3 linked regions of the Diceros bicornis minor genome follow. The protein of the gene in region 1 purifies or fractionates together with the protein of each later gene. This does not show direct contact. Links are inferred from orthologs where the notes say so. Each region holds a gene or a part of one and is shown on either strand. Other genes may lie near its edges.

Region 1 (3,747 bases):
GAGCTTCCCCTTAGTCCCCAAGCCTTCTGGAGCTACTCAGACAGCAGCTAGCAACCAGCACTGCTGACGGTAGGAACGGAGCTGCCAGTGCCCTGGTTTGCCCTTATGCCTTATGTTACCAGGAGGGAGGATCCAGCCAGATGGTTTCCTCTGGTGATTCTAACAGAAACCACCCAGTCGTTTTTTTTTTTTTATTTTAACAATGCTGTTAGAAAGCCTCCAGTATCATTCAGCATGGCACTCTAATGAAGAGGGGAAAGGCCTTCCTTGTGCTCTGCGGGTTAAATAATAAAGAGCAGCTGTAAGTGGAGGGACAGGCGGCGTGAGCTATGGCAGCGGGGCTGCTCGTCTTCATTAGTGTCATCTGCAGAAAGCTTCATCTTAGACGTGGGGTGGGCCCTGAGGTCGCCCAGCTGGTCTCTCCAGGAGACTGCAGAGATCAGCTTGGCCTTGTTTTCGAGAGTTTAATGAACTCCGTGGCAGGCAGAAGCGCCCTGATGTCTCCCTTCCGTTCTTGTTGCCCGAAGAGTGTCTCTTCTTTGTCTGAGATGGTGGTTCTCAAGTGGGGGCTGTTCTGCCCCTCAGGAGACATTGGCAATGTTGGGAGACATTATCGGTTGTCACAACTGGGAGAGGGGGCCCCTGGCATCTAGTGGGTAGAGGGATGCTGCTAAGCATTCTACCATTCACAACAAAGAATGATCCAGCACAAAATGTCAATAGTGCTGTGCTTGAGAAATGCTGGCCTAATAAACAAAGCAACCACTGAATCCAAGATGTTGTTTTGGACCGTTGCATTCTCTTTCTTGAAATCTGGAGGAAAGAATGAAGAGAGGAAATAAAACGACTCTTTAGGCAGTATCCACTGCAGTCCTCCTGCAGTGTGATGCTGTCATTGCTAATAAAAAGCTGTAAGACACTTGGCACTTTTGGATGGTTTCTCCTGATATTGAAACAAAAAAAGAAATAGCACATGCACAGACTCACAGACTGCTTAAGGGATAAATTTTATTCAAAAACCCCGTGTTCCTCACATTTGATGTCTATAGGAATATCATGGGGATCTGGTTAAAATGGAGATTCTGATTCATCATGTCAGGGTGTGGCCTGAATTTTGCATCTCTGCCAGGCTCACCACTTGGGAGCTCCTAGGCGGTGTCCGTGTTGCAAGCGCATAGTCACACATTGAGAAGCAAGGCACTAACCTGACCTTTGGTATTCCTAAGCCTGTGGGGGGCCTGGGATTGTGGCTCCCACCCGTCATTTACATTTGGATAACAGGAGAGGCCTTTGCAAAGCTCTGTGCATGAAGAGTCAGCTTTCCTTCACACGTGTGATGTGATGTGGCGTGACTGACTCATCCTGGTTTGCCCAGAACTGTTGCAATGTAAACCAAAAGTCTTGCATCCAAGAAATCTTTCAGTCCTTTGAAAACAGGACGGTTGGTCACCCGGTGAGCCCCCCTATATCCCCAGGGGAAAGGTAAGGTTGGACCTTTCGAATTTCCTTTAATGAGGAAGGCTCTGAAAAGGAAAGGGGACTCAAGGAAAGCTTTTTATTTAGTTATGTCAGTTTCTCTCCTTTTCTGGGAATAGAAGCGGGTATGATGTCAGGAAACTCCACTGCCTAACATCGGGGCACATTTTGTGTCACCAGGAGGATTGTGTTTCTCCTCTTTTACCTGTAAATTGTGCTGTTCACCAAAATGTCCCTCAACCTTCCGTCTTTCCTTCCTCGTATCCCTGCTACCCACTGCTTCCAGACTCTTCCCCATCTCCTCCTTTGAGCAGGCCACACCCCTACTCTAAAACTTTCAGCATTTCCTGACAAGTTCTCAAGGATTTTGCCCTCAAGGGAATAACTTTGGAGTGGGTAGAAAAAAAGTGCAAGATGTCCCCAAACTCTTAAGTAGCTCGTATTCTCAATGGGTGACAAATATATATGACTCATCTTTTTGAAAGGTCAAGATTTTATATTACTAAGGTCTGCCATGCTAGACGGAGTGCAGGGTCTGTGTTGATGTGGATTTGCAGGTGAATTAGGGCAGACTCAGTAAGGATACCATCTAAACCCTCCCTTCTGTGGCTTAGCCAACTTCAGGGTAGTTGGCCAAATACCCCTGGTTAATTTCTGCCTCTGGGCCTTTGCTTAAACTAGTCTCCCCATCAAGACTGCCTTTTCCTTTCCTCTCTGCCTACCTACATCCTTTACTGTTCTATAAGGATCTCGCCGTCACCATCCCCTTCACTCTTCCAGCCCTTCATGATCTCTCTTCTAGGACTTCCAGCATTTAATCGATGTGGTACTGGTTTCCAACTGAGTAGTAACCACAGTCTGGCCCGATAAGGGTTCAAAGACAGGGCAGCCTCTTCAAGAGAAGAGAATGAATAAGCATTCACGGTCGGGGAGACCATCTTAGGATGAGCCCACCAGCCTCCTGGACCAGCAGCTGCACTGACTTCTTTGATTAATTTCGCACTTAGGGCTTTTTGTGAGATCACGTTCTAGAAGTCTTGCCTGGGAGTGTGCACTGTAAAAATTGAGTCTTAAAAAAATGTAGGTCACCGCTCATTTATTTGACAAATACTTATTAAATGTCTTCTCTGTTTACTGGAGGGAGGGCACACATTCATTATAATTCCCTTTAGGGGTGAAAAACCTAATTGGTATACATGTTAGAACAGCAATGGACAAGGGGTGGGAGCTACTGACATAGTTAACTGTTTTGCGTGGATATATTTACATTGTTGTTTTCCTGGTTTCTGGAAGCCAAGGACCGTGTGTTTCATTTATTCTCTACCTCCTGCAGCCGTGACTCCCAGCTTAGGGTTCCTGAGCTTGAAGGACCGCCTAGTATCGTGTTTATCAATTATTAATGTTTCCAAAGGCCAAATGAGGCAAATTAAAATCCAATTTCTTTGCTTTTGGCTGGAATGACAGCCTCTTAGTTCTGTAGCCCTGATATCTCATGTTGATCTGAAGCTCTGATTGGTGGTTACATTAGTGTGTCTTGGATGAATAAAAAATGGGGAAAAGAATTAATTCTTGCTTAACATTGACCAAAAACTATTTTTGGGGGGGTGTGGGGTTAGAGAAATAATAATAGGGTGATTTATAGTTAGCACAGAGATGGTTACACACTAGATAATCAATGCTTGTTAAAATGAACACAAAGTAGATTTTGGTATTAAAATGGACTACAGCATGCTTCCCCACTATGGCTATAGAAAGTTCTGGAAGAACTCAGCATAGCCCTCTCAACTCCAGAAGCAGGCACCTCAGGAGACAACATTCTAAAGTCCAAATGCCATGTGGTCCTGTGATAGCAGCTGGATATGTGTCAGGGGCCCTGCATGAAGCCCCACTTTTTGTACTTTTCTGGGGATGGAGGGAGGAGAAAAGGAGTCTTAGACTTGAACACTTTGCCCTGAAATTGTGGTTTCCTGGGAGTATCCAGGGAGCATTTGAAATGGCCAGAGGAATGGGGTCTCTGGTGGGTAGTGGGAGCCCACACGTCTATGGGAGCCTCAGGGCTCAGATGTTCTGTCTGAGCCAAGGCCCCGTCAACCATCTGTCTGTGAAACTAGAAGGCAAGAGAGTGAACGGCAGTGTGACAGGCTTGCCTGGCGGTGACAGGCAGTCCCCAGGGGCTCCGAGAGGAGCACGTGCATGGGGGAGGGAGGGAGGGACTTCCTTGGGCCTTTGGGTCTCATCACGTGGAGACTACCTCATTCTGCAGCTGGCCTG
Region 2 (3,747 bases), on another chromosome or scaffold:
AGGAACACCCCACCTGATCAGGCTCACCCCCAGAGATTTCAATCAGAGGGGGATCTGGGAATTGGGGGAGGGGGCTGTAGGAAAACCCACAAACCCCAAGGTCTCCTCAGGCAGAGGTGGGAAATGTGGTCGCTTGGCAGGGGATTTTCACTTCTTCCTGGGTGGGTGACAAGACACGGAATCTGGGGCAGGATGGGAATATGAGAGCACTTTCACACCGACGCCGCCCCCTCCCCACCATATTCCTGGGGCTCAGCCACCTTGGCGCAAAAACCATCTGATTCTACCGCACTCAGGCCTTCGTTCGCCCTCCTGACCCCGCACCTCCCCAGGAGCTCCTCACTCCTCCCTCCCCAGGCCCAGATCTTTTCACTTCAGAATGGCCACCCTGCTGCACGCCCCCATCCCCGGCCCCACACTTTGCTCTCCCTCCTCCTGGTCCTCGTCCGGCCGGGCTGCCCCCGCTCAGCAGTTCGTCCCGAGGGTCGCCCAGGGCTCTCGCCCGGTGCCCACCCCGGTCGCAGGAACGTGGCCCGCCGAAGCGCGCCTCTCGGCGGCTCCCGGAGCCTCCTGCCTCAACAGGTGCCCCTACCACACGAAGATGTCACCCGGGGGCCGGGCGGAGGCTGCGACAGGAACGCCCCCTGCAGGGCGGCGGGGGCTCCGCACACCCCAGCCCGGGTCCCCGGAGCGCCTAAGGCCCCCGCAGCTCCGCCGAGGGCCCCGCCGGGCTCCGCCGCCTTTGTTTCCTCTCTCGCGTTGACGTCGCGGGGCTGACCTCGTGAGAGGGAATCTCTGAGTCCGAGAAAAGACACTGTCCACTCACTCGTCATGATGGACCCTAGCGTTGTGGTGAGGGGCGCGTACAGGACGAAACCTTTCCCCGACCCAGAGAACCCCGGGAGGTGTTAGTGGGGAGTCCTCCGTGCCAAAGAAGCAGGTTCAAGTTGACCCTGGCTGAGAAGTGGACGCAAAGCTGGGCCCAGCCTCTAGCGACCCTGCCTTACCCGGAGCCCCTACCCCACGTCCTTTGCCCCCAAGAGGCTGGAGTGGGGGTGCGCACGGCCACCTACACGCTCAGCAGCGCGCGGTTCCCATTGCCTGCTTGCTGCGCGCAAGGTCCAGCCGCCTTCCGGGGCGGGCGAGGCGCGGGCAGTCCCCGGCCCCCTGGCCGGCGGCGCAGTGCCGAGAGAGCCGCCACGTTCCCAGTCGCGCGCGCACGCCGGGCCCACCAAACTTGCAGCACTTTCTCCCAGCCCCCACCCGCTGTCACCCTCCCTCCATCCATGCGCCCCGGCCTCGCTAGCCCGACGGAGGTTGCCATAACAACGGGCAGGAATGCTCCAACATATACAAAGCCAGCAGGGCGCCGCGGGCACGCAGCCCCGGCCGGGCCCCGCGCCCTCTGCAGCCGCGTGGGGCTACGATGCGCGCCGCGGCTCCCGGGCCGGCCGCCCGGCGCGCAGGGCGTACTCACAATGAGCGGGATGGTGCGGTCCTCGCGGAGCTGCTCCGGCCTCCCGCCGGCCCTCTGTGCGCCCCGGCCGCCGGAGGATGCTGCGTGGGCTCGGTTGTCCTGCCATAAGTAGTAGAAAGTGCCCAGGATCCAGGCTACAGTCAGGATGGCGATGGCATTGGCGCGGATCTTCCTCATGGTGGGCGGGCGGGCGCCCCGAGTGGGGGCCCGGACCGGCGTGCTCTCCGGGCCGGGGCGGGGGCGCTTGCAGCCCCAGCTGTTTGTTTTCGCTCGCGCCTGGCTGCTCAGTCCTGCAGAGCAGAAAAAGGAGAGAGGTGGGGGGTTGGGGGGGGTGATAGGGAGAGACAGGAGCGTGGAGCGATCCTCACGGTCCTAATGCCCTTCAGCCCCGAGCGCGCGCATCCCCCGGGCGCCCATTCATTCGCGCGCAGAGCCCGCCCGGCGCTCCAGCCCCCGCCGGCAGCCCGGGCCGCTGCGCACCCGGAGAGGAGCGCGGCGGGTGCAAAGCCGCGCCGGAGGAAGGCCCGGCGAGGCAGACGCCCGCGGCGGAATGGCGACGGGCCAGAGCGAGTCTCCGCTCCCACCGCTCGGCGACCGAGCGCCCGGCGGCTGCCCCCGCGTGGCCCTGGTCGGTCCCGCCTACCTCCACCCACCCCCTGACCGAGCGGCCCTGAGTCACCGGCTGGAGATGCGCGACCCGGCCAGGGCCAGCGCCGCGGAGCTGCAGTTCTGGGCTGCACTCTGAACTGCGCTCTGGCGCCGGGTTTAAGGTGTGTTCGGCGAGTCCTTGGGAAGGGACGGCTGGGTGGGAGCAGAGTCTTGAGTTTGCACCGGAATCCTCCGCAGCCTAGGATTCCGAGCCGCCCGAGGGCCCGCCCCGAGGAGGGATTGGAAGCTGGTGCATTTGACATTCGAAGAGAGTGAAGGGGGAGCGACGCTGCTTCACAGCCAGTGAAAGGAGAAAGGGGGCACAACCACCCCACATCTTCCATTGGCCTGGGGCTCCCAGCTTTCATGATGCTTCCCTGTACCCCGCCTCATTGGCCCCTGGACAACCCTGAGGTATCATCATAACCATTTCATCGGGAAGAAGGGAGGCCAGAGAGGCTGGAAGATTCGCCCAAGGCCACACGACTAATTAGTGGGCAGAGCCCAGTCTAGAAGCCCTCTCTCCATCCGACACTTTCGACAAAGTGCAAAACACGGTGGTGAGAGACACGGACACAGAAATCGTTGAGATTCTGCCCCAGCCCTGGAGGCGTTGAGAATCTGGTGTGAACCACTCTCACTCCCAGCAGAAGGCAAGGTGGGCTAAATTAGTTCTAGGAGACCAGCACAGGGTCAGGCACAGAGCAAACCCTCAACGAATAGATGTTAAATAAACCAAGCAGGGATGGCAGAGGAAGAAATAACGTATTGCAAGGTGCTCTTAGGGAAGGTTTCTCACAGAGGGTGGATAAATCCTTCGAATAAATTCTTAAGAGGCAGGGAAGGGCAGGGCAGAGTATCGGCTGCATGAATAGCCAGAGCGAAGGTCCAGAGGATGGAAATATGTACTTGATGTTCAAGGAAGAGAGCTGCCTGTATTGCTGGGGCCCAGGATGCTGGGAAGGACTTGGTGGCAGTTGAGGTTGGCCAGGCTGGGTGAGTCTGGACTCAGGAGGCCCTTGAATCCCAGGGACCTGCCAGAGTTGGCAGGGAGTTTGCTGCCTGCTGGTGCTGCTGGACACTGGCTCAAATGAAGGCCCACATACGGTCCCAGCCTGTAAAAGAAGGTGCCTCAGGTATCTGGCAAATGATGAGTCATAGCTCATGCCTTCACCCAACCCCCATCAGCACCACTCATTTCCCCCGTTTCTCCAGCACTCAGGACCCAACCACACATATAATTGATGCTCAGTACATTTCTATTGGAGGGAAGTGAAATGAAGAAAGAAAACTTTAAGGGTTTTTTTTTTCCTTTTTGAGGAAGATTAGCCCTGAGCTAACATCTGTGCCAGTCTTCCTCTATTTTGTATGTGGGTCGCTGCCACAGCATGGCTTGAAGGGCAGCATAGGTCTGTGCCCAGGATCCGAACCCTCTAAACCCACAAACCTGTGAACCTGGGCCGCCAAAGCAGAGCACCTGGAACTTTAACCACTATGCCATGGGGCCGGCCCCTCCTTTTTGCTTTTTGCTGCAGAAAGGCCATCATGGCAATTGCAATACCCTCTTCCTCCCACAGAAGACTAACCACGGGGACACCTAGACAAGTCCAAAAATGGCCCGA
Region 3 (3,747 bases), on another chromosome or scaffold:
TTAAACAGATAGAACTAGATGGAAAATAGAAAGAAACAGAAGCAAGATTTCCATATTTGGTTCTGCATTCAACCATTTGCAATGTGTTGTTTGGTTGAAGGATATGAAGACAATCCAGGTTCATACAGACATGAACCTGGAAAAATAAGGAGCATTTTAATAGCCCTTTCAGATACTAGTGTTTATTCCTTTTTGATACGACACCAAAACTCAACAAGAGGTAGTCTCTTAAAAGTTAGTTGCAATATAGAATTCAAAACTTTATCAATGAACTTCTTGTACCCAATAAGCTTGTAAGAGAATGTATTATTCTGAAAACAGTTTTGATCTTGCAGATCTCTTGAAGAGGTCTCAGAGAACCTTCCACACTCCCAGGGTTCCCTGGACCACATGTCTAGAACCAGTGGCTTACGCTGTACTTTTTCAATCAGCTATGTAAGCAAGGGATGTTATTTTCCATTCACAAAATAATAAACAGATTTGTTTAAAAGGAATTTTTTAGCTTAAATAATACATTTAAAGAAATATATGAAACAATAGAGGGTAGGTAGTTATGGGAAAAAAATGTGAAATAGTTTGGAAAACAACAAACCAGTGCATTCATGCAAATCTACCCTCTACTCTATTTTACAGAGGAGGAAACTACCTAGACAGCGGTCCCTCAGCTCTTCTTTTGGCTAGCTCCTTCTAAAAGCGACATCTTGGCTCTGTATGTCAGCTCTTCAGAGAAGTGGTCCCCAATTAACTAGCTTAAAGAGGCTTTATTATAGATTTTTCCAAATCAATCTGATTACATGGTTGGAATATTTTAATATCATGATTGATGTCATAAAAAAAGTTTACTTCAGTAACAAAGGAATGTATCAAATGGAGATTACTGATAACCACAACAAATATCACTAAGTGGATTATGTAATTCCTTTTCTACTTGATAAGACATTAAGGGGAATGGAAAAATAAGTGGCAACCATCTGCTTTATTCATAACCTGGTACTTACAACATAATGACCCAGTTTACTTCATCAAAAGGTTGATCAGAGATCAGGACACAGATATCTTGTTAACCGGGAAAAAAAATTCAAAGTAAACAGTGGATTGTACAATCATACATTATCATTAGACCCCATGGGACACCAGATAAATCACTTTACCTTTCTGAGTCAATTTCCTTAGATGTAAAGTGAAAAGTGTCATTTAAGTCATCATAACTGTTCCAAATCTGAAATTTAAATAACTCCATGATCTAGTATTCTGTAGTAAGAACAGACTCAAAAACCTATTCTGTAAATTTAAACTTCTGAATGTTAGAATTATTATTTACAGATGAACTCATTTTAGAAAGTTTTTTTGTATGTGAAATATCAAATTTATCCATGTATTACTTCAAATTTTTGTAAATTTAAAGTTAGATATAGTTTTGTTAGGCTATTAAACATTTGCTCCAATATTAAAACTGGATCATATTTATGACTTTTTTTCCTTTGCTGCATAGGTATCAGTTTTCCATTTTATCATGCAACTGATACCACTTTGCATTGAAACACTTTGTGCCATGCAAAATGAATGCTAAATGTTTCTGATTAACGGGGAGTCTGTCATAGATTGAACTATACAAAACTGTCACTTTTCGAGGTCAAAAACGGTGGAATGTAGGAAACTTCTTATGGCACAACCTAATTACTTAGGTGGCAGAATCAAGGCCAATACTAAGAAACTGCTAGTAAGAAAAAACTTTCCCAAATCTCTCCCAGAGGTACCACAGACTTTTAAGACGGTCATCTTTGCAGTCTCACTCAGGCAGACACCTCTGATACTGGAGGCAGGGATGGGGCAACTATGCCGGGTCAAAAAATCTGCCTTGCTAAGTCACCAGGCAGCCCATCTCAGGCCTGCGGGGGAGGCTGATCGAGGCTTCGCCTCACCTGACCGTCCTGACGACGAAGTACACCAGCACCGCGCCGCTCACCACCATCAAAACGGTCAGGGCCCGCTGGGTCATGGGCTTATCGCCGGGGTTGGGGCTCACAGCGAGGCCGCCACCCACTGAGCCTTCTTCCCCCGCCTTCCCTCCTTGATCGTTCGCCGCAAGCCCCGCCCCGGGGCTGCTGCCATTGCCGCCCTCAGCGCCTTTCGGCCCCGCGGCTTCGGCCGGAGCGCGGCCCGGCGAGTGGGCGGCGGTGGGGCCGGGCGGCAGAGGCTGCAGGGTCCGCGACCCACGGTCCGGAGGCCTGGTGTTCGGCGCTGCCTCGGCCGCCTGCAGCAGCACCGCCAAGGGCCCTCTGAACCCTGGCAGTAGTAGCAGCAGCAGGAGGGCGGAGGCCAGGAGGCGGCTGAGGCAGCAGCTGCAGTGCGGGGCCTCCATCGTCCCCGACCGCCCTCTCACCACACGGGAGCCGCCGGGCCCGCCGCCCTGGCTCCAGGAGGGATCATGGGCGCAGTGGAGAACGAGGAAGAGATGACCAAATCGTGCGGTGAGGCTCGGCCGCGGCAGGTGGCAGAGGCGGCAGCGGCGAAAGCTGCTGCGAGAACCGGAAGTTCGTACATCTCAGCAGCCACTGCTACTACGGACGCCCTGGGTTGCTAACATGTAGAGGCAGGCGCGTTCAGTGACGTCAGGCGCGCACGACCGTCTGCGCACGCGCCCTGCCGGAAGGAGTGCGGAGAGGTTTGCGGATGGGTCACGAGTAAGAATGTAAATAAGGGATTGTGTAAAGTGTGCAGCAACTCTTTGCCTGAGGGAACCGTGAGGGGTTGGAAGCTCATAATTTCAGTTCCTTGGTACAAAACTGCAGAAACACAGCTAATCATTGATGAAGACAGGCTTGGCATTTCCCTCAGCTAGGGTACAAATTTTAGACAGGTCTCTTCCTGCCTCTATGTAGGTCCCTGACCTCCCTTTCCTCAGAGCATTTACTTTAGAAACCTTGTAATTGTAAGTTCATTCTCTGCCCTTTTGAGATATAAATCTTTTTAAAAGCTCTTGCCAGTTTTACAACCCAGGACCGTCTTTCTTAAGGACCTGGAGCCATCCTTTTGAAATATAATCCACAAAGAAGATAGCACCCCTATCTCATTCTCTGTGGAAGTGTAGGAGCCTAACTTAGGCAGGCGCCGTGTTCCAAACTGTAAAACTACCTCTTGTCACGAAGCTACGAGAAAAAGTTAAGTTTTCCTTTGGGTAAGTTCAGTTAGTAAACATAGGTGGCCTATGATGCTCCCTACCCTAGCTCTTAAAATTTCTCCGGCTCTTTGTTTCTTTCTGGGGAGTTGAGTTCCGACACGGTTCTGGCCTCTCTCCTCTATTGTGATATTCTTAAATATTAAAGTGTTCCTTGCCTGTTTAACTTTGACATCAGTAGCATGGAACTTTGGTTTGAGCAGATACTAACAAACAAACAGACAAAAAACCCACCTGATCAGAAACCGAAGTTAATATTTGTTCTTTTAAAAAAACTTATTCAACAAATTGTCTAGAGTTTCTACTCCTTGCTTAGCCCAGTGCTAAATTATGAGTATTGAATAGTAGACAAATAAGATGTGATCCTTGTTCTCATACCACTTAGGTTCAAATGGAGATGATAAATAAACAATTGTACTCGTTCTGAATTCTGAAGTGTGTTACAAATGACAAGTACAGGATCTACAGCAAAAATTATGTAAAGGACTATTGTAGGTAGGGTGGATGGGATAGTGCCTTTTAGCTGCTTGGGGGTAACAGAGTAATGCAGTTGCTCCTGCCTGGTAGAA

The links.
Region 2: the proteins of SLC39A11 (region 1) and GALNT16 purify together in Homo sapiens (co-immunoprecipitation; 3 studies listed by BioGRID and IntAct, counting the BioPlex papers as one, with this or other methods). This does not show direct contact. The link is inferred for Diceros bicornis minor from reciprocal best matches to the Homo sapiens genes SLC39A11 and GALNT16.
Region 3: the proteins of SLC39A11 (region 1) and FAM174A purify together in Homo sapiens (co-immunoprecipitation; 3 studies listed by BioGRID and IntAct, counting the BioPlex papers as one, with this or other methods). This does not show direct contact. The link is inferred for Diceros bicornis minor from reciprocal best matches to the Homo sapiens genes SLC39A11 and FAM174A.

Annotation. Positions count from the first base shown.
Region 1 is NC_080757.1:53,906,290-53,910,036, reverse strand, and holds the start of SLC39A11 (zinc transporter ZIP11), read left to right. Parts: upstream 1-1,420; 5' UTR 1,421-1,482; intron 1,483-3,747. UniProt on the Homo sapiens protein: Zinc importer that regulates cytosolic zinc concentrations either via zinc influx from the extracellular compartment or efflux from intracellular organelles such as Golgi apparatus. May transport copper ions as well.
Region 2 is NC_080763.1:17,780,110-17,783,856, reverse strand, and holds the start of GALNT16 (polypeptide N-acetylgalactosaminyltransferase 16), read right to left. Parts: upstream 2,311-3,747; 5' UTR 2,157-2,310; intron 1,768-2,156; 5' UTR 1,655-1,767; coding exon 1,478-1,654; intron 1-1,477. UniProt on the Homo sapiens protein: Catalyzes the initial reaction in O-linked oligosaccharide biosynthesis, the transfer of an N-acetyl-D-galactosamine residue to a serine or threonine residue on the protein receptor.
Region 3 is NC_080740.1:25,273,682-25,277,428, reverse strand, and holds the start of FAM174A (membrane protein FAM174A), read right to left. Parts: upstream 2,545-3,747; 5' UTR 2,363-2,544; coding exon 1,923-2,362; intron 1-1,922.